Linked DNA regions of Drosophila melanogaster. The protein of the gene in region 2 purifies or fractionates together with the protein of the main gene of each other region. This does not show direct contact. Each region holds a gene or a part of one and is shown on either strand. Other genes may lie near its edges.

Region 1 (9,372 bases), about 13 Mb from region 2:
TTTCAATATAATAAAATGCCAAGCCGGCTCATACTTTCCTCATGTCCCAACTGAGATACTACAAATTTAATAAAACTTATAAACTTGGCGAGTGCAACAAGCAGTCCAAGTGAGGGGGCGGCAGTCTCTAAAAATATATATTTCGATTGCGTGCCGCGTGAGGAAAGTCCTAAAGATTCGGAAACGCTTGCCAGGATTTATCGTGCGTCCATTACAAGCGGAAATTAAGCGCGGCAGGTCGCCAGCTGGACAAGAGGGGCGGCGGCGTGGGTGGGCGTGCGTGAAAGCGTTTTGCCGGCTGGCCATAAAGTAACGAGCGGGCCAAGAACATTCCGGCGGACCAAAGCAGAGCTATTGTTTTCGGGTCCTGCCAGGAGTCCTGTGGGCGCTTTGTATGCCAGTCACGTGGCACGCAACGACAACTTGGGATTTGTTAAGTGGCGCGTCGTTTTTGATGTACGGAATGTTTAGCGGAGGTCCTCAGGCATTCTAACTCCTCGTATTTCCTTTCTTTTGTTTTTTTTTTTTTTTGTAGGTGAAAAGTCCATCACGTGTCCCGGACATTTTGCACATAACTTGTTTCAGCGTTTTTATTGCCAACTTCCTCTTCCGGTTTGAATGCACTGCGAATGTCTTTTGTTTTTGCCCACCTTGCGGTTAATGGTCCTTCGACTGGCAAAAAACCAGTGCGGCAAGCACTCCAGAAACTCCATCAGCCATGGCTGATTCGATTTTGCGATGTGTACCTTTGCTTTTAGTGATTGAAATCGCACATTTTAAGTGAAAAAGCGCACACAGAAGTGCACTCAATCATTCGTCACGTGATTCAGTCGGCGCGGAGTGAAGACCTCCCTCTTCCACTACCAGACTTTTCCGGCTTTTCCCGCCATTCTCCGAGCTCCTCGTGCAAATGTTTTTCTTAGTTGGACACCGAGTGGAAAGTGTTGGAGCGCCAGGGCTGTGTTTATATAAAAGATTACGCCACCAGATGAGAAATGGAGACACAATTGTTCATGTTGTTTATTGTTGAGGGGTAGTGAGAAAATGAAAAGCCAGCGATAATGCCACGTAAATGTTTTGAATGCGAAATCAATAGGGAAAAACAGCTTTAAGTCAAGCGCAAATTCAATAGGAAAAATTCGCATGGTAAACTTGAAGCGAAAAACTTTTCTAATTTGCGCATTATGAAAATTGGGTTCCTGCATAAAAATTCACCAGCAATCCCGAAAACGAGAATTAAGTGAAAAGCAATTTTTGAGCCTAGTCAAAAGGGAGAAAATGAATGTAAGGAACTGAGAAAAACTTTTCCATTAAGAAAATTAACTGAGATTAAGTGGGGCCCTATGCTTTAGTGCCCACCGAAAACTTTATCCAATTGGGACGGATCAAAATTGCAACAATTTCAAGGCATTTAAACAGTTGTCACATACACACCCACTCACACACAACCAAAGGAAGTGGGCCGGAAGTGAGCTCGAAAACGGAAGCAGCCCACAACACATGAAATTGGCTTAGGGAAGGAAGTGGGAGGCAGGCTAAGGGGAAGGGACTTTATTTGTTGCCTGCCACACTTCGGTTGCTTGTTTGTCGGCGTCGTCCTCGTCGATACTAATCTAATTTTATTGATATTGACACAATTTCTGCAGATTTCCGCATAAACATAAAAACAGAGCTCGAACCTTGGAGCTTCGGCTCAAGTAGCAAAACAGTCAAGGCACGCAAACAAATGGTATCTAATAAAAATTGAACAAAAAGCAAACAAAAGTTCGATGATGCGGCCGCCATTGGATGGAAGTCAAACAATACTGAAGTGCTCGGCGGCCATTTCCGTTTGCAAATGGAGAACACAAGAAATATCAGTCTAGGCAATACTGTATTATAGAAGTTTGAAAAACAATTCATAGAATAGTGTAACTTGTATATAGCAAATAGATTTTCTTAACATAATAATAATCGTACTCATTTTATTTCATTGTGAAAAATTTAAAATCACATTTTAAGGTGTGTAGATATTATTAAGCTTAACGTTCATTTTATATTATATCAAGCAAATCTAAGTCCAAGTGAAAATTCCCAAAATTAATCGCTTTGTATTTGCCCAAGATAAGGTAACATTAATTTCGGGTATTACCCACTTGAAAATTTACAATCCAATTGATAACTAATACAGATTTTTATTGATACGGATTTTAGCTTTCTGCTTGATAAGCCAACCAGTTTCGGAAACTTAATCGTTTGACACGGGAAGGTAAACGTAGTTAGTAGATTTCTTGTAGAAAAAAAACCATTTAAACTCTAATTTCCCCTACCAGGTGGGACTAAGCTTCGTCGGTACGGAGAGCGGCTGGTGGTGCTTCATTTGGCTCACCCGATGGCTGCCAGGTTGGGCAGGATGTGGGCTGGATCAAGGCCATTTTCTAATATTTTTAACAATAATAAAAAAACGTTCTAAAATTCTTGGTATTTTCTTGTATGGAATGAATAAAAAGGTTCCTTATTACGTAATTAATACTCAAAATATTTGTTTTAGATAAGAAAAAGATAAGGGTATGTCCAACATAAAAAACATAATCAGTTACAATTCAGATTGCGCTGTTGGGTTCATTCCTATAGCCGCTCAAAAATAGGCAATGCTTTTTAGGAATATGAAAACTGGACTGCGTGGCTTTACGGCTAATAAAACACACCGGACTGGTTCTTGATCCAATCCAGATAGCTGGTGACGCGGGTGAAACCAGCAGGCGCATTTTTCTCACATCCCTTGGAGGACACAAACGAGGTCACACCAATTAGTCTATTGTTCAAAGCCAACGGACCGCCAGAATCGCCCTGACAGGTCGACTTCTTGTTGATGGACTCCACGCAGATAACTCCACTGGTGACCACAGATGACCCAAAGGTCTTCTGACACACAGCATTGGTAATGACCTGAAATTGTGCGTATTGAAGGTTCGTGGCGACGGCAATGCTGGAATCGGAGGTCCTGCCCCATCCGGAAGCCACTGCAGTCTGTCCGGCGTAGGTGGAGTAGCTGCTGGCGATGGCGGGCAGGGCAATCTTATTTATGGAAACCGTAAAAGTGACGGATGGAGTCTTGATCAGGGAGATGTCGTTGCGCAAAGTAGCCGCATTGTAGCCGGCATGCTGCACAAACTTGGAGCTGGAGACCTTTTTCTTCAGTTTGGCACTAGTGCGAACGGTGGACCCATAGTAGATGGTCACGGAAGAGGCTCTAACAGAATAAATCTTAAATCGATTATCGATTTTTTAAAAAAATTACTCACCCTTTGGTGCAATGAGCAGCAGTTAGTACCCATGTATTCGCTATTATTGAACCACCGCACCACCAACTGCCAGCCGAGCTTTTAAAACTGAGTCCCACCTGGTAGGGAAACTGGTTAGCAGCTGCCTTGTTTCCATTGGTAATGCGACCATCTATGGACGGAACAGCTGAGCTATCACGGGGATGTACTGGAGTGTCCTGGCGCAGGATATCAGCAGAAACTGTGGCAATTGCCAAGACCAAGACAGCAAAAACCTTCATCTGGATCGAATACACTTTAAAGAGTGAGCAATTTCTGGTATTAAGGATCATTTTATATTGTCTTTGAAATCAGCAGCGAAACAACAGAATTGTAAATCTTTAACCATTAAATAGGCTTAAAAAGGTCTTAAAACCACTGTACCTTACATCATTATGGCAATATTGCTTCCAATTTACCAAGAATTAAATAAAATAAAAGCAAATGTTTGCTTTGGAATCTTTTTATAAAGTCCTATTCTTTATGGCTTACTCTTTAAGTTACAACGTAAATAGGCAGTTAAGATAAAGAAATATTGATAAGTAATAAATAATTGTTTTTAACCAAGCAAATCCCAACTAGCAAAACAAAAGCACAAAAGTGGTAATGCTACCAAAGTAATTATCTTTTATTCGCACAATTTGAAAGTCCCTAATTTGTGATGAAGAAATAAATGCCAGTAGCTACATTAATATCTTATCAAATAGAAAAATTTTACAAAAGCGCCATATAATAAACTTAAAAAAATTTTTGCGACACTTAATCAGAACATTTAAGTGGACTTGCCCAGCCATCTATGCAGATAAGATTTCTCAGTCTGGGTATAAAAGAGGCCGTGTTGGAAAGGGAAAATCACTCATAGTTTGAGCAACCATCAGCATGAAGGTTTTCGTAGTTTTGGTTCTGGCTCTGGCCTCCGCCTCCGCTGGGCTCCTGCCCAATATTGCCCCTGTACATCCCCGTGACAGGGTCTCGACCCCATCCATCACCGGTCGCATCACCAACGGCAAGGACGCCGTTGCCGGCCAGTTCCCCTACCAGGTGGGACTTAGTTTCTCCAGCTCTGCTGGCAGTTGGTGGTGCGGTGGCTCCATCATCGGAAACGAGTGGGTGCTGACTGCTGCTCACTGTACCGACGGGTAAGTGCATTTTCCGTCCTTCAAGACCAGGTCTAATGAGAGTATTTCCAATATAGTGCCGCCTCCGTGACCATCTACTACGGTGCCACTGTCCGTACTAGCCCCGAGTTCACCCAAGTCGTCAGCAGCTCAAAGTTTAGGCAGCACGAAAGCTACCTGGCTTTGACCATCCGCAACGACATCTCCCTGATCCAGACTTCGTCCGTGTCCTTCTCGGCTACCGTGAACAAGATCAGCCTGCCCGCCGTCTCCAACAGCTACTCCACCTACGAGGGAAAGACCGCTGTTGCCTCCGGATGGGGTCTCACCTCCGACCAAGCCACCGCCGTGTCTCGCGATCTGCAGTACGTGGACCTTACCATCATCTCCAACTCCAAATGCCAGGAAACCTTCGGAAGCCTGATCGTGACCAGCAGGGTCCTCTGCGTTGACACCACCAACAAGGCCTCCACCTGCCAGGGTGATTCCGGCGGCCCATTGGCTCTCGATGGTGTCCTCATCGGTGCCACCTCCTTTGGATCCGCTGATGGTTGCGAGTCTGGCGCACCAGCTGCTTTCACCCGTATCACTTACTATCGCGATTGGATCAAGGAAACTTCCGGTATCTAAGTGTTGAAGTATGAAATATGAAAACTGCAAAATATTATAAATAAAACTGTAATCATGATTTTACACATGTTAGACTTTTAAATAATGTCTAGAGATTGAGATCTACTCTCTTACCGTTTAATGAATCAGATTTCATAATAACTCTTATAGACTAACTTAATACACTTCTGGCTTTTGATATCGCCAAAGTGGGTACTTTATGATCGGTGACGAAATCGGGGCCTTGGATTGTAAAACCCCACAGCCATTCAACTCCAGGAAAATTATCAATGGCCTTTCATGTGTCGAAATGCAGGCGAAGGTGTGCAGTAAATTAAACAAATAATAAACTAAGCGTTGATAAAACGACAGTCAATAAATACAGAGACCCCGACCCAGACATTCTGGCCAATGTTGGGGGCTAAGACTGAAATCGTGCAATTGAGGACCCGGGAAAATGGGGGGTTCGAAAGCAATTAAGGAAACTGCAGTATGCCAAAGGGAGACGAAGGCCTAGCCTAAGCAACATAATCGCCAAAACGTGCGGCAATTACACGGTAGCTGGAGGAATTGAATGCCAAACATCTGCTGCTCCTCCCGTCTCCGTATAATTTGCACTCGGCCCAAGCAAATTCAATTAACAAACGATGCGGACACGTGCCGCATCCAAGTCGATGACGCAATGTCGATGCCACAATCGCTGACTATAAAAACACCAGCAAATACAACAACAAGCCCAGTACTTCACGTGAAGAGCCCACTCAGACCTGAACTTGGACTAACTCATTACGAGGAACATCAGCTATATATATAATATATGTAAATAAAAAGGCAATTCATTCATAAATTTCATTCAACATAATGAATAGAGTTTCCTATTCACATATTTAAGGGGGGGGGGGGGGCGGGGGGTATTCTATGAATTTGGTCAGAAAAAGGAAATATTACATTTAAAAGATATAGTATAGAATGCAATAACAGGTATTCCCCATATTATTTTTTCAATTCCGTAGTGATAAAATGGCGCAATACCAGGCTACAAGTGCTTTCTTCCTGCTACTTCTATCATCCACACTAGTTAAATCAAGTGAGCCTTGGCTAGATACTTTTGAGCACCCCAAAGAGGAGACACCGGACGATGACGATGCAATCATGGAAAGACGTTGGCAGCTTGGCTACGAAAACTTTCGACTTCGCTGCGAAAAATTCGAGATGGAAGGTAATCAAACCGCTGCTGTGAGAACTCGAATAGCTGGAGGAGAATTGGCCACGCGCGGCATGTTTCCCTATCAAGTGGGTCTGGTGATTCAGCTGAGTGGCGCAGATCTGGTCAAGTGCGGTGGTTCCCTTATCACTCTTCAATTTGTTTTGACTGCAGCCCATTGTCTGACCGATGCCATAGCTGCAAAGATATACACGGGCGCCACCGTATTTGCCGATGTAGAAGACTCCGTGGAGGAGTTACAAGTCACGCATAGAGATTTCATTATTTATCCTGATTACTTGGGATTTGGAGGATATAGTGACTTGGCTTTAATACGACTGCCAAGAAAAGTCAGAACTTCAGAACAAGTGCAACCCATTGAGTTGGCTGGGGAGTTCATGCATCAAAACTTTCTGGTAGGCAAAGTGGTGACCCTATCTGGCTGGGGTTACTTGGGAGATTCAACCGACAAACGGACGCGACTCCTCCAGTACTTAGATGCGGAGGTGATCGATCAGGAACGCTGCATCTGCTATTTCCTGCCAGGATTGGTTAGCCAGCGACGTCACCTGTGCACCGATGGAAGCAATGGACGTGGTGCCTGCAATGGCGACTCCGGTGGCCCCGTTGTGTACCACTGGCGCAATGTTAGCTACCTGATTGGGGTCACCTCGTTCGGCAGTGCCGAAGGATGCGAGGTGGGGGGTCCCACTGTCTACACCAGGATAACCGCATATTTGCCATGGATCCGACAGCAAACGGCAATGACCAACTAAATGCAATTAACGCCTAATTGCAGCCCATTAATTGCTAAACAATATAGTCGGCCCAGACAATAAAACCAATTTGAGCAATGAAACCAAAACAGGTTCTTCTGTCGAGAAAGGAAGGTGCAAATGGTCCATTTTATGTGTGGTTGTTTTCTCTTGAATGAAAATTGTTACCGATAAATAACAATAAACATTTCGGCATTGCAGAAGAGCAAGTCAATTTGGGGAGCTCAATAAGGGCACAAAAGAAAAATTACATTGCCATGGAAATTGCTGATGAATCGCCACTGAAATTGAAATCATTGGGTTGAGTGTCCGTTTTTGGTGAGGGCATATTGGGTACAGACCGCAGCGCCTCCTCCCGCTAATCGCCTTCAATTGGCCATCTGAATTGGCTATTAACCGCAGTGATGTGGTCGGTTGAACGCGTCATAAAATCACGCGGCTTTCGCTGATAAAGAAGGCTGCGGTTGCGAAAACAACTGAAATTTGCGTGTTTGTAATCAAAGAGAGAGTCCAGATACGCAATTGTTAGACGGCGGTATGATTTCCTATGAAGTTTAAGCAGTCTTGACCAACTCACGTCCTACTCCTTGACCTTTATCGAAGGTAAACAAACCCAACTAAACTGTGGGCTTACGGCTTCTCACCCTATAGACAGGAGATAAGATAGCACTCGACTACCATGGGAATTATAAGATACGCTGAAGAGCAAAGCAAACCTTTGCCAATTTTGTATCGCAATATATAGTTATGTATATATCGCGTATGTGTAAAACTAATCAAATTAATTAGCAACCCCATGCTAGGCCTTTGGTATCGCAGCGGCTCGATCTGGAAATCCACTCGAAGCCCATAGCCCTGATTAGATCCGTATCGGGATTAATACTCTTGGATTGGGAAAGTAATTTTGGCGACCGTGTGGCTGAAGTTCATTCATTCATATCTTCGGCACAAAATCTCAACAGATAAGGTAGTTCGAACCGACTTTAGTGGTCCTATCTAATCGGGACAGCTCTATTTCTGAATTGCAACCCAATCGCAGACGCGACTTGGCCAGTATAAAAGACCCCAGCTGGTCCTTGGCCAAACAGTTGAGTTCCCTTAACTGAACAAGCAACAATTCCCAAGATGAAGTTCCTGATCATCCTTGCCCTGGCTGTGGCCGCCTCCGCTTTCCCCGAGCCGGAGCTGCGCCATCGCAGCCGCGAGATGCCCGTCGTTGGCGACATTGGAGGTCGCATCACCGGAGGAAGCAACGCCGCCGTCGGCCAGTTCCCCTACCAGGTGGGACTTTCCCTGAAGCTGAGTGCTCTGTCCAGCGCCTGGTGCGGTGGTTCTCTGATCGGCAGCACCTGGGTCCTGACCGCTGCTCACTGTACCGATGGGTGAGTGTCCCTTGAAGGAATGCCGAAAATATCTTGGAACCAATGTCCTAACCAATTGTATGTTTGATTTATCGCAGAGTTCAGTCCGTGACCGTCTACTTGGGCGCCACCGTGCGCACCTCCGCCGAGATCACCCACACCGTGTCCAGCTCCGACATCATCATCCACTCCGGCTGGAACAGCGCTAACCTGCGCAACGACATCTCCCTGATCAAGATCCCCGCCACCTCCTCCAGCAGCAGGATCTCCGCCGTCAAGCTGCCAAGCATCTCCAACTCCTACTCGACCTTCGTCGGTGACGTCGCTGTCGCCTCCGGATGGGGACGCACCAGTGACACCTCCAGTGGTGTGGCTACCAATCTTCAGTATGTCGACCTGACTGTGATCACCAACACCAAGTGCGCCCAAACCTACGGCACCTCGGTCGTGACCGACTCAACCCTCTGCGTGGCCACCACCGACGCCAAGTCCACCTGCAACGGTGACTCCGGCGGTCCTCTGGTCCTCAAGTCGTCCAGCGAGCAGATCGGTCTGACCTCATTCGGTGCCTCTGCCGGTTGCGAGAAGGGCTACCCCGCTGCCTTCACTCGTGTGACCAGCTACCTGGACTGGATCAAGACTAACACTGGCATCTAGGAAGGAGTCAGGAACTACAATTTCGCTTAAAAATAAAAATCATTTCTAAAAAATTCAAAAGTTTTATAGCTCTATAGGGGGAATTTCGGAAACGTAGATCTTCATTTATAAATTTCTTTACTCAATATAGATCAAAAGAGAACTTATGTTCCCAGTTTGAGGGTCGTCGGTTATAGTAACAATCCATATCGTCTTGTACATATGCTTTTGTCTAAAATCAAAAATCATCACAAAACAGACAAATGAAAATGAATGCAGAACCAAGCTGTTACTGGCATTCGGCGAGTAAGTTCTCATTAAAATTCATTAAATTGCCAAGCGACACAATTTTTTTTTTTTTTTATT
Region 2 (11,360 bases):
ATGGTTCTTTGTTTTGGAGCCCACTGGTTGCCGGGGCAGCGGTTGAAAGTGAATTTCAAAGTCGATTACTGGTCGATAACGCAGGGAATTTTGATTGATAAGCAAAAGAGTTGAAAGTGATGTGTATAGAATGTATAGTGTAACTATACAATGTGAAGAGTACTTAAAGAATTGAATAGTTTTTGAATTAATTAAGAAATAATACAAAAATATGATAGTAAAATACTAAAAAAAATCTATTTTAGAATAATTAGCTAACTCACATTTTTCCATGTTTTCATTTTCTATAGCTTTAACTACTGATAATACGGCTTCCGTGGGAACAAAGTATTTCTCACAGTGATAGCAGCAACCGATAGGAAATCCCGACCACAATGTGCATCACTAGTCACAGCAATAGTAAACAGCGGGCACAGTCCACAAAGAAAACCATTGCCGCCGGTAGAGATGGCTGCAGTTTCGGATATTCCAGTGCACCTGCCCAAGCTGCTGGCTCTGTTCAAGACGGTGGTGCCCAAGCTGGTGAACAACAAGCACAAGGGACAGTACGGACGCATTGGAGTGATCGGTGGGTCCCTGGAGTACACCGGAGCGCCGTACTTCGCGGCCATTTCCTCGATAAGAGTGGGCGCTGACCTGGCGCATGTGTTCTGCCATTCAAATGCGTCGGCCATTATCAAGTCCTACAGTCCCGATCTTATCGTGCATCCAGTGCTAGACTGTGTGGATGCAGTGGAGAGAATAGCGCCCTGGTTAGAGCGACTTCACGTCGTTGTGAGTAGCCCCCCCCCCCCACCTACATACGTATATGCTACATTTATACAATTAAATGCTAAATTTAGAATCGTTAAGGTTATTGGACCTGGACTGGGTCGGGAGCCGGGCATCCTGAAGACGGCATCCAACGTACTCAAGCTGTGCATGGACACCAAGAAACCAGTTGTCATAGACGCCGATGGACTGTTTCTGCTCAACGACAATCTGAATCTGATCTGTGGACAGCCGAATGTCATACTCACGCCAAATGTCATGGAGTTCCAGAGACTGTTTGGCGAGGATGACCAGGCGGCGCGCCAGAAAATGTCCCTCCTGGGAGCCGGAGTAACTGTCCTGGAGAAGGGCGCCAACGACAAGATCTATCTCCCTCACTGCAACGAAGTTCACTCAATGCCTAGCGGCGGTTCCGGTCGCAGGTGCGGTGGACAAGGTGACCTGCTCTCCGGATCTTTGGCCACCTTCTTCTCGTGGTCACTGCAGTCGGGTGAACCCAATCCCGCCCTGGTAGCTGCATGTGCCTCTAGTTACTTTGTGAAAAAGTTAAACGCGGCTGCATTTCAAAAGTTTGGCCGCAGCCTACTGGCCAGTGACATGGTCAATCAAATACCCAGCGTATTTCAGACCGAGTTCGAAAACAGCGATCCTCAATAGTCATTTACTGGACTTTGAACTAATTCCAGCTGTTTGTTTTTTAAAACAAGGCGACCATTAACCGAATTTTCAATTATCGTGGGATTTTTAATGTCTTTAACAGAGAACATATTGGAATGGATAGAAATGTTATGGGAATTTTTTAATTGCATTTAAACAACGTAAGAACATCTGGTTCGTTAATTTGAAAGCTGCATCTTGTTACAGATAAAATGTTTCGGCATTCATAATAAAACCATATTGATTCAATTTTAATAAACCGTTTAAGCATGACTTCTGTTTTAATAAACAAATAAAATAAAATAAAAGTTTTTTTTAAATGTATGTAGGATAATAAATCATAAAAAAGAAAATAGATTTGATATAGATTATTTTAAAGGTATTGGCGGGAAAAAGCTAAGTCGTCGGTTCCGTTCGGTTGTTGGTGTTTTGCAGCACTGGTCTTCTCGCGAGCGGCATTTCCACGTCAGGTTTATTATTGTTTTTTTGGAATTTATCAAGCAGTGAAAATGCTCCTCAAAAGACTGCCTGGCTTTGTAACACTCTGGGTCGTCCTGCAGTTAGCCGGAGCTGATTCGCCCGAGGAGGAGCAAGGCGTTCGCTACGCAAACCGCTGCGAAGCCTGCAAAATCCTGGCCACCGAATTGGAAGCTCGACTTGGAGAGACCGGCAAGTCGCACGACGTCATCGAAATCGGATACTCCGTTGACGATGTGAAGCCCAAGAAGCGCACTGAATACCGGCGCAGCGAACTGCGACTGCTCGAGTCCCTGGAGAACGTGTGCGAGCGAGTGTTGGAGTACAATCTGCACAAGGAACGCTCTGACAGCACGAGATTCGCCAAAGGTATGTCCCAGACCTTCCAGACGCTCCATGGCCTTGTGGACAAGGGCGTCAAGGTGGATCTGGGAATACCCTACGAGCTGTGGGACAAGCCCCCGGTGGAGGTCACCCAAATGAAGACCCAGTGCGAAAACCTACTGGAGGAGTACGAGGAAACCATCAGCGAATGGTACTTTAAGCACCAGGATGAGAAGTCACTGAAGAAGCATCTCTGCGAGGACCATGTGCTCAAGAAAAAGGCCGAAAGGGAATGCCTCAAGGAGCAGCTTGCTCCTCCGGAGGCTAAAAAGGCCAAAAGGGAAAAAGCCAAGGGCGACAAGGAGGAGCTGTGAGCCAAATAATCCAAGTATATCCTAGGAATCCCTACCATATTGTAATTCCATGTCGAAAAATGTAGATGTAGTGCAGCTGTTGTCGATGCAATTTTTAAAAGTAACACAAATTTTAGTTTTTGAATGAACTCAAGCATTGACAAACTAAATGTAGTAGTTACTTAAATTCCAATGATCTTACTTTTTTTCGAAATGGAAATCATTTTAAGTTTTACCACCTATAGAACAAAGCGAAAAGTGTTTAATTAGCTTAAGTGAACTCACTATGTCTCTCAAGCTAATCTGTATAACTTCCACAACGACTGAGCCACAGAATGCTACTGAAAGTTTCGCCTGGGGCCATTGGCTTATTGATTTCGGCCACGAATTGGGGTCGACAATTAAAAGTTGACTGCCCTCAATGAGGTGGCCAGTCATAACCCCCAGCCAGAAATTCAGGTGTTCATGCCATGTCCATGTCAATAAATGAGATTTTGCGCATTTTCTAGGAACCTACGGCACTGAATGGAAGAGAGTTATCCTTAAATACATGTACATTTTATAACTAACATTTAGTATTTACGATTAAATATAGATTATCTGTGCATACACATTTTGATTTTACTGGGGCACCTAATATGTCGTTTAAAAGGTATCTCGTCGCGAAACCTTTCAAAGTTTAAAAACAAATTATTTTGAATATACCCAATTTGCATTAAATGAGTTTGTTTAATTGTCTGTAATAAATACTTCGCGTATATTTCAAAGTAAAAAATATTATTATAATTAGTATTGGATTTTCCATCATTAGGTTCTAATTCGAAATCACTACGGGTATCTTTTAGTCGTGGAGTTTTCCCGCCCAAACGAGTTTTGTAAATTCAGAATCTAATTCGCAGTGGCGGGCGAAAGAACCCCTAGTTATCCATAAGCTTAGAGCTTCATCACATCCCAAGGATCGTCCATATAGTGCAGGATGGCTTTGTCGTGCAGTCTTTCGCCAAAAACCTCCTTAAGCAGGCGTAGAACGCATTCCTCAATGAATGCCACCTGATCCTGGGGGCAGTAGTCATCTTGAGCGGAATGGGCCATTGTAATGGCCACTGGAGGAACTGGCAGGCGCTGTAAGAAACGCTTGAAGTTTGCAAAGTACGTTTCCAACTCTTCGGCGATGCTGATGTGGTGGGGCAAGCCATTATTATCGGTGGTGCTGCCCGAATCGAAGATCAAATGCCAGTCGATTTCATCGTCTGGATATTTCTCCTGCAGCTGATCGGCCAGTTTCACAATCTTGGCGTACACTTCGGGCGTGACCACGGTCTCGTCCGGCTTTTCCAGTCCCTCGAAATTGCGCTCCTCCTCCAGATGCCAGAAAATCGTCTTCAGTGCATCCAACTGAGTCTGTCGCCTCTCTGCCGTGGCCAAATAATCTGCTATAGTAGCCGTGCCCGACTTCTTCACCTTCTCCACGCTTTCGAAGTGGAAGATCTCCTTTAGCTGATTGTAGCAATCGGCATCCTTGTATATTTCCAAGAAGGGGTTGGAGGTGCTGAAAAAGTCGAGGTCTATGTCCAGCACGAATCCCTTGGCGTCCTTCTCCGTTAGGAATTCGTTCGGATTGAGGCTTTCGTTGTCTGCATCGTGAACCTGCAGCTCCACGCTCTTGGCATCCTGCAGATCCTCCGTAGTGCAGTAGTTGCCGTCGGCAATAAAGTAGTCCAACGGACAGTCCACTCCAATGCGATCGTCCTTTTGTCCAACCTTAAAGTCGTGCCTGCCAGTGGGCAGCTGCTGGCACCATGAGTTCTTCAGCCACACGACGCGGTTGAAATGTCCTAAGAGCAAGTAATATAGCAATAAGTTATTATTTTACACTAATTTCTATAAGAAAATGCAATTATAGCTAATTAATGTCATTAGACTCATCACAGTTAATAAGTTTTTGGTTTGAAATCCTTTAAATGTAGAAAGGAATCTTTTTGACAACAGTACTCAATGGATATTTAGCAGTTACTAAGAGATAATCTTTAAATATTAAGTTCTTAGTAAAATTAGACCATAGAACTTTTTTATTTGTCCTTTTACATTGTTTTCTATTTCTAGAAATAAAATAATAGCATTTAATATTATATTTCTATATAATATAGTTCTCTTCGATTCCCCATAGAAATCCTCACCTGCATAAAGTGTGGGCATGATCCAGTTCTCGATGCTAAGCTCATTTAACATGGTTTCCTTTTGGTAGGTGGAACTGGCGGCAATGTGCCGTGGAATGACCAGATCCGGATGCGAGTCGAAGTGGACAAGGGTGTTGTTCTGCAGCGGAAGGTGGCGGGTGGCAAAGCAGCGGTAGATGAACTCCAGCACATCGTTGTGGTAGTCGACGATAAAGACGGGGATGCGCTGGAAATGCCTTGGGCTGATGGTGCCGCCAATCTGGACGATGCCCTCGCCATCATCCTCCTCCTCATCAACGCTCTCCTCGCTATCCTCGTCTTCCTCCCGATTCTCCTCCTTTTCGTCTGCAGTCTTTTGTCTCTTTGTTGGCGGCGCCTCTTCTCCCCCACCCGCCGCAACCCACTCTCCCGAAGTCGGCTCCCATTTCTTCGAACTTTCGGGACTTTCACTTGGCGATAGTTTTTTTAGAGCAGCCGCGGCACTCTCCTGGTCCAGCGTATCCGATTCCATTTCCCTCGGGATTACTTTGACTGTACAACTGGGTCCTTAGCACACTGTTCAATTACTTGCACGGTAAGCAGACTTAATTTCTTTTGTATTTAATATTTTGGGGGTCTTTGACCATTAACAGCTGTTTGGCAGTGTGACCAGATTGCTGTCTAGCACAAGTTTCCCGTATTGCTAAAAATGGTAGCCCTATAATAAGGTCACATTACATAGGACCCAACTATCGATGTATCGATTAAAGTTGTGTCCGTTTAATTTAAAAGTTTTTTCTACACATTTTCCATATATTGTACCTTATTTTGTCAATTACTTGAGACGTTGAGTATTTTTTGATATAACTTAAAATAAATTTGATTTTTTAAAGCATTCGCTTTGAAATCTAGAATCTAGAATGTAGAATCTAGAAAATGTTAAAAATGTTAAAAATAACAAAATTTATTAAAAACTAAAAAAAAAAATATTTTAATATTATCAAAATAGTACACCTATTTCTATATTCATATCACTTTGATAGTGGTAAACGAAAATAAGAAGTAAGGAGAGAGTATCTCATAGTCGAGACACTAGGGAGTAACCTTCTTCTTGCGACTCTCGTGCAACCAAGGAAAGATTTGAATTTCAATTTGCAAGTTCTTGAAACAATTTTTCGAACAGCAGTGTTCATTAATTAAACAGCACTTTATAAGCTCAGCCAGCACACGAGCTCTTTGCCATCCGCAATCCAAATGTCTCACACTCCCCTCCAGCAACTCGCCCCCCCCCCCCACAAGACCCTTTTATCCTCAACCTTCGGCCCACCGGCCACCCACATTTCAAGGTTACTTCAGATTTGGAGACTTTGCCTCCAATCAATATTCCGTGTGTATCCGCAGCTTGGACGCTGGCATAATGCGATTGCCATCGAGCGAGTGATGGGGGGCGGGGGTCGGGGGGTGCTGAGCGGCCTCTGGAGCTTTTAGCCCCCAAAAAGCTGGCCCAGCGTTCCGCCCACGCTGCGCAGAAGCTTTTCATTCATAAGTTTTTATTATATCTGTACATATGTAGTAGGTATATATTTGTATATCTATGTGTATATATATACATTTGCATTTGCAGCGGAGGGAATCGGACGCCCACATGGCTGATTGGAATGCGTAAAACACTGCCGCTGTGTGTGTGTGTGTCTGTGTATCTGCGAGTTCGACTTTGTATCTGTATCTGAGCGCTAGTATCTGCGTTCGTCTTTTTCGCCCTTTGCAGCTGGTGGAAATGAATGGCGCGGCTCGGTTGTCTGGAAAAGCGCCGACAGCGCTGCTCGGGCGTTGGCGTGCAATGTTTCCGCCGTCGAGCGTTATCAAAAAATATAACTGTATATAGACTTTTGTGGGTGTCCCTGTACATACATAGGCGACACTCTTCTTTTATTACCGTTTACATTTTATTTTTGGCCAAGTTTTCGCGTGGGCCGAAACACCCTCGGTGGCGTCCATTACGCCGAGTACCACGTTGCCATGTAAAATCTTTACTACCACGATATCTTAATTAATCCGTTTAGGATTGAAGTCTGCTCTCGTTGAAGTTTTTCATTTCATTGCCGTACAACTACAACTGCATCACTAGAAACTAGTAATAAATAGTACTTAAAAATTCACACATTTTCTTATCAAATTGTTACCAGTATAAGTTGATTTGCTGACCAAAATATTATGCTCAATTATAGGTTTTAGAGCAGTAATCAAGGACGAAGATTCCATGAAAGATCTATATCTCCATGTTACTTATGTTGACCGCCTAATTATCGAGCTCGCTGGCACACTGAGAGAAATTGTTTTTGATTGGGGGGCTTTCCCCAGCCCTTATAACGCAACGGAAGTGCCAACTTCGAGAGCATCGGCCCCTTAACTCGATCAATTGGCTGCAATTTGGCTTCTCGTTTTTGTTCTTGTATCAATTACAGCAGCTCTGCGCTTTCTCTAGCTGTCGCACCCAATTCTCGCAATTAATTTGCCTTCAGCTTGACCCTGGAGGTCAAACACTGGCTCGCATTAACCTTCGTTGGCCCCTCCGACGAATCAATTGGGGAAGGATGGCACGGATGGGCGATGACAACCACGATGACGATGGCAAAAAAAGGAGGAGGGGGGTGGCAGGAATTTCTACTCTTGATTGCTCTACTTTAAAATGAAATCCTATAAAGTAAACATCAAAAAAAGATACAGATTGATTGAGATTCTAGATATTACTTTTAGATTGCCACTCAAAAATACAGTAATCAGATGAACATTGAGATATTTCAATATTAAAAAAAAATCTTTCTTCTCCACAACAACTTTTAAACAACGTTAAAGAATTTATAATCTTTAATCTTTCGCTTATAATCACAATTGAAGCACATAAGCTTTAAACTTTAATACAATCTTAGAAAGCTTTTATGCAATATTTTCATTCTTTTAGTGTTAACAATCTTAACCGTAAAGTAATTAATATTTAAAATATTTTTACTTACTTAGTACTTATTCATACTAAATCGTAGTTCTTTCCCACGTGATGTCTTCAAACACATGATCTTGACTAAGTGATGAACAATGTTATTTACAACTTTTGCAATCAGTAAGCCGGTAAAGAAAGTGCAGAAAATTCATTGAGCAGCCCCCGAATGACGTCAACAGGATTTTGAGTCTGGCGTAGGTGCCCCATTTCCCTGTAGCCCTGTGAATTTTATTTTATTTTATAACTTTCCCCTTTGGAAGGAACACGTGGCACCGGCTGCTGTTTAAGCCACCTTGAGTGAAGTGGCCAAAGTGAAATGAGTCAGTGGGCCCGACAAAACCAATCCCAAAAGTGAGTACAACCAACGTCATTCGCATTCTAATTCGGTGAATAGGTAAGTCGTTTGGTCAGGTCGCCGTTTGTTTCGTATCAATCGTAACTTTTGCTCGCGTGGGCGCTCAAAGCCAACAGATTCTTTCACATCTGCCGTCCCGACTCGTCATCCTTTCTTCTTTTTTAGCGTCCGGTGCAGATCTGATTTTTTAGACATTTTTTAGCACTGGAAACAGATACTTCCCAAGAGGATTCACATTCTACAATGACGAATTACTTATCTTCAGATGAGGAGGGATATCAGTTCGTATATGGGATGAATCTTGGATTTCTTGTCAATCTATGCATGCTATTTGATATATAATTATAATTATCAAATAGTATTGTAAAACGAAAAACTTTAATTGCATTGTTGCAGAAATGTTAACTTATATTTATATTTTGTCATAACTTGTTAAATTCGTGTTCATTTATTAATGTCTGTTTTAATCAAAGCTATTATTAAATGATAATTTAATTTTTTATCACCGTTTTTGGCTACCAATTTGAACCAACACTTGTCTGGAACGACGTCATCGGAGTGCCCAGAATCATGGAGATTGGGAACATATGTATATATTGAGATATTGAGAATCTGTGAGATACTTCAGCCTCTTCGCTCTGGTCAAACGTCAAACGCACATTGATCGACGATTGTTGATCGACCATTGTTGATTCTAGAGACCCGTGGCGCCCACCGACATCCGCTGTTCATATGGGCGAGTGATTCACAGAGATCTCGCGGAACGGAACTCTGGGGGCTGGACATGGATATATGGATGTGGGCTGGATTCGAGAACCCAATTGCGAGTGTGAATGCGAGTGTGAGTACACACATTTCAGAACGGGCGAAACGGAAACATGAATGGCAGATAAGCGGACGCGCCAATTCTTAATCCCATTCCAGTTGTTTTAGGTCAGTAAAGCAGAATGCAAAACTAGTGTGGGAGAATGCCGTTGAGCTAACTAACTGCATTTAAGAAATAATTATATTGCTTCAGCTAGTTAATAAACGTCCAAATTATTAGAAGGCAATATTCATCTCGTAGCAATAATTATCCTATACTCATATGAGTTTTGTAACTATGAAAAGGTTTCAGCACAGCGATAACTAATAACTTGCTGGGAAATATCTGTTAGAAAGTATACGCAGTTAATGGTCTTTCTTGATAACAATGAGTGGAAAAATAACACCAGATAATGAATAAAACCCTGCAAAGCTCATATAAGTAGTATCGCACATTGCGAATCACGATGATCCATATTTCCCCCATTTCTCAGAACTTTTCACTCATTCAAGCCGATATGGCTATGACTGATCTATACACGCACCATATAAAAACACTCGGGAAAGCGTCATCATCTTCATATTGATTATACGTGGGGTCTGATAATCAAGGTAAAGGCCGTAGCTTGCGCAATTTAGATTGACAATCGTGAGGTGCAGAAATTTAATTGAATTCTTCACTTTCGACATCAGTTTCCTGCTAAAACACAGATAATGCCCCAAAGTGATTCATTGAGCTATACAAGTGGGTTGGGTATTCCATTTTGGCTGCGAGCAGACTTTGAACTTGTGTCATCGAAGAATGGAGCCCGGAGGACGACCGACCTTGGCTTCTACACTGTCAGAAATACATATATGTATCGCCAAGGTCAGCCCACCAAAGACACTTGGAAGGCGCAATTGAGCAGCCTTTTGAAACAGCTATCCAGGTGCTTACTTCTAATTTCTTCATACTTGAGTGATACACTGACAGTAATTATGTACAACTTTCGATGAATACAAAAATTAATGGTAATATGTGTGTTTACACTTTTGTGTTTACTGAAGCGTAAATAAATAAATGCTTAAATGATTTCATATTATAACAAATATTTCTTAGTATTATATATAAATATATATATATATTTTTTGTGTGTGTTTTTATTATTAAAGAAATCCTTTTGAAGTACGCATGTTTTCTTTGTATTGAGACTGCTGAAAGAAAATGTAATTTATTAAAGAGCCGCTCAATTTTTCCCTGTGCACTCCCTTGCAACATTCCGGCTGGCCTCCCACGCGCCAGGGCCGAAAGCAGAGTAAAGTCCTGGGGAATAACGCCCTTGGAATCTCAGGAGCCGCGTGCCAAGACGAAAGTGAGCAGCGAGAAATGCGTGGGCTGAGCATGGATTTCGTATGGCCGTTTCTTTCCCTCGCCGACTGTCTCCCTCTCTGTCTGCTTGGCTTTCTTTATTGCTCCAACGGTTTTCGCTGCTGCGTGGGACTTTCATTCATGAAAATTGTGCTCGAAAGTCGTTCGTTCGTACATCTGTATATAGTAGCACGTTGTGATGGGCCTTACCTAACGGTATATGGTGTGTATGGGTGTGCGTTTTATGTAAAGCTAGTGCAACGCAGGCGCAGCAGGAAGTTTGTTGTTTGTGGAGAAATTTTTGCACGCGCCGCATATCCTTGAAATTGTCCTTCCATGCGATTTCTGTATGGGTACACACGTATATCCTTGTGTGAGTCTCTTCTTTTTGGGTGTAAATATCAGGGTCATGGTTATAAAATTAAACATTTCATCGAGTCTCCAATATAACTGGCTCTTGGAGGAGCATTTGCGCAGGAGCTTTCGTTAGAGAGTAGACAGCGACTCCATTGATGATTCCGATTCTTCTGGGCTCCGTAATTTCTTATCTGTCTAAATTAGTGGTCCATTAACTTTTGCACTCTAGTGAAGTGAAATGTTAACCGCGCTCTCGCAAAAAGAGAGTAACAATAAAGTAGGTTCCATCGCGAAGGGTAAGGTGGGTGGTGGTGGGAGTAGTGGGAGAGTGAGAGAGAGCTAGTTTGGATGGCGAATTCAATGAATCAACACGAACACACGCATTTTACTTGCCACACGCATACCACAGCACAAAAATATCAATGAACTTTACACAAAACTTTGGGAGCGTATGCAGCGTGGAGAAATAGTCAAAGTGCCAAAAGAGTGCGGGAGAGAAAGGCAGGTGGGAAATTTGAAATACGAACCCAGTTATGAAATAATTATTTAACATACGGGAAAATATGATTATTTAATATATTTAAAAAATTTTATGTAATTTATAGAATTAAAACAAAGTCTTTACTTTATCTAAATTTTATTCAGGAACTCTCTTTGTATTTACTTTTTTCCCCATTTTTTCTCCTTTTTTAACCGAGCAAATTTCCAAGTGGGTCTGTGCCTGTGCACTGGCTCTTGCTCACCTTTTGGAGAGTTGCTC

Evidence for each region. The genes of interacting proteins can lie anywhere in the genome.
Region 1: the proteins of CNPYb (region 2) and yip7 purify together in Drosophila melanogaster (affinity purification with mass spectrometry, with the first as the bait; one large-scale study listed by BioGRID). This does not show direct contact.

What each region holds. Positions count from the first base shown.
Region 1 is NT_037436.4:6,031,062-6,040,433, forward strand, and holds yip7 (yippee interacting protein 7), read left to right. Parts: upstream 1-4,154; 5' UTR 4,155-4,181; coding exon 4,182-4,441; intron 4,442-4,497; coding exon 4,498-5,050; 3' UTR 5,051-5,114; downstream 5,115-9,372. Other genes in the region: CG10477 (uncharacterized protein), read right to left, coding at 2,674-3,232, 3,285-3,544; CG6462 (uncharacterized protein), read left to right, coding at 6,050-7,009; Jon65Aiv (jonah 65Aiv), read left to right, coding at 8,135-8,391, 8,469-9,027.
Region 2 is NT_037436.4:19,086,720-19,098,079, reverse strand, and holds CNPYb (canopy b), read left to right. Parts: upstream 1-1,862; 5' UTR 1,863-1,937; coding exon 1,938-2,603; 3' UTR 2,604-3,190; downstream 3,191-11,360. Other genes in the region: Naxd (NAD(P)HX dehydratase), read left to right, coding at 448-774, 853-1,428; MESR6 (misexpression suppressor of ras 6), read right to left, coding at 3,516-4,417, 4,640-4,681, 4,760-5,270.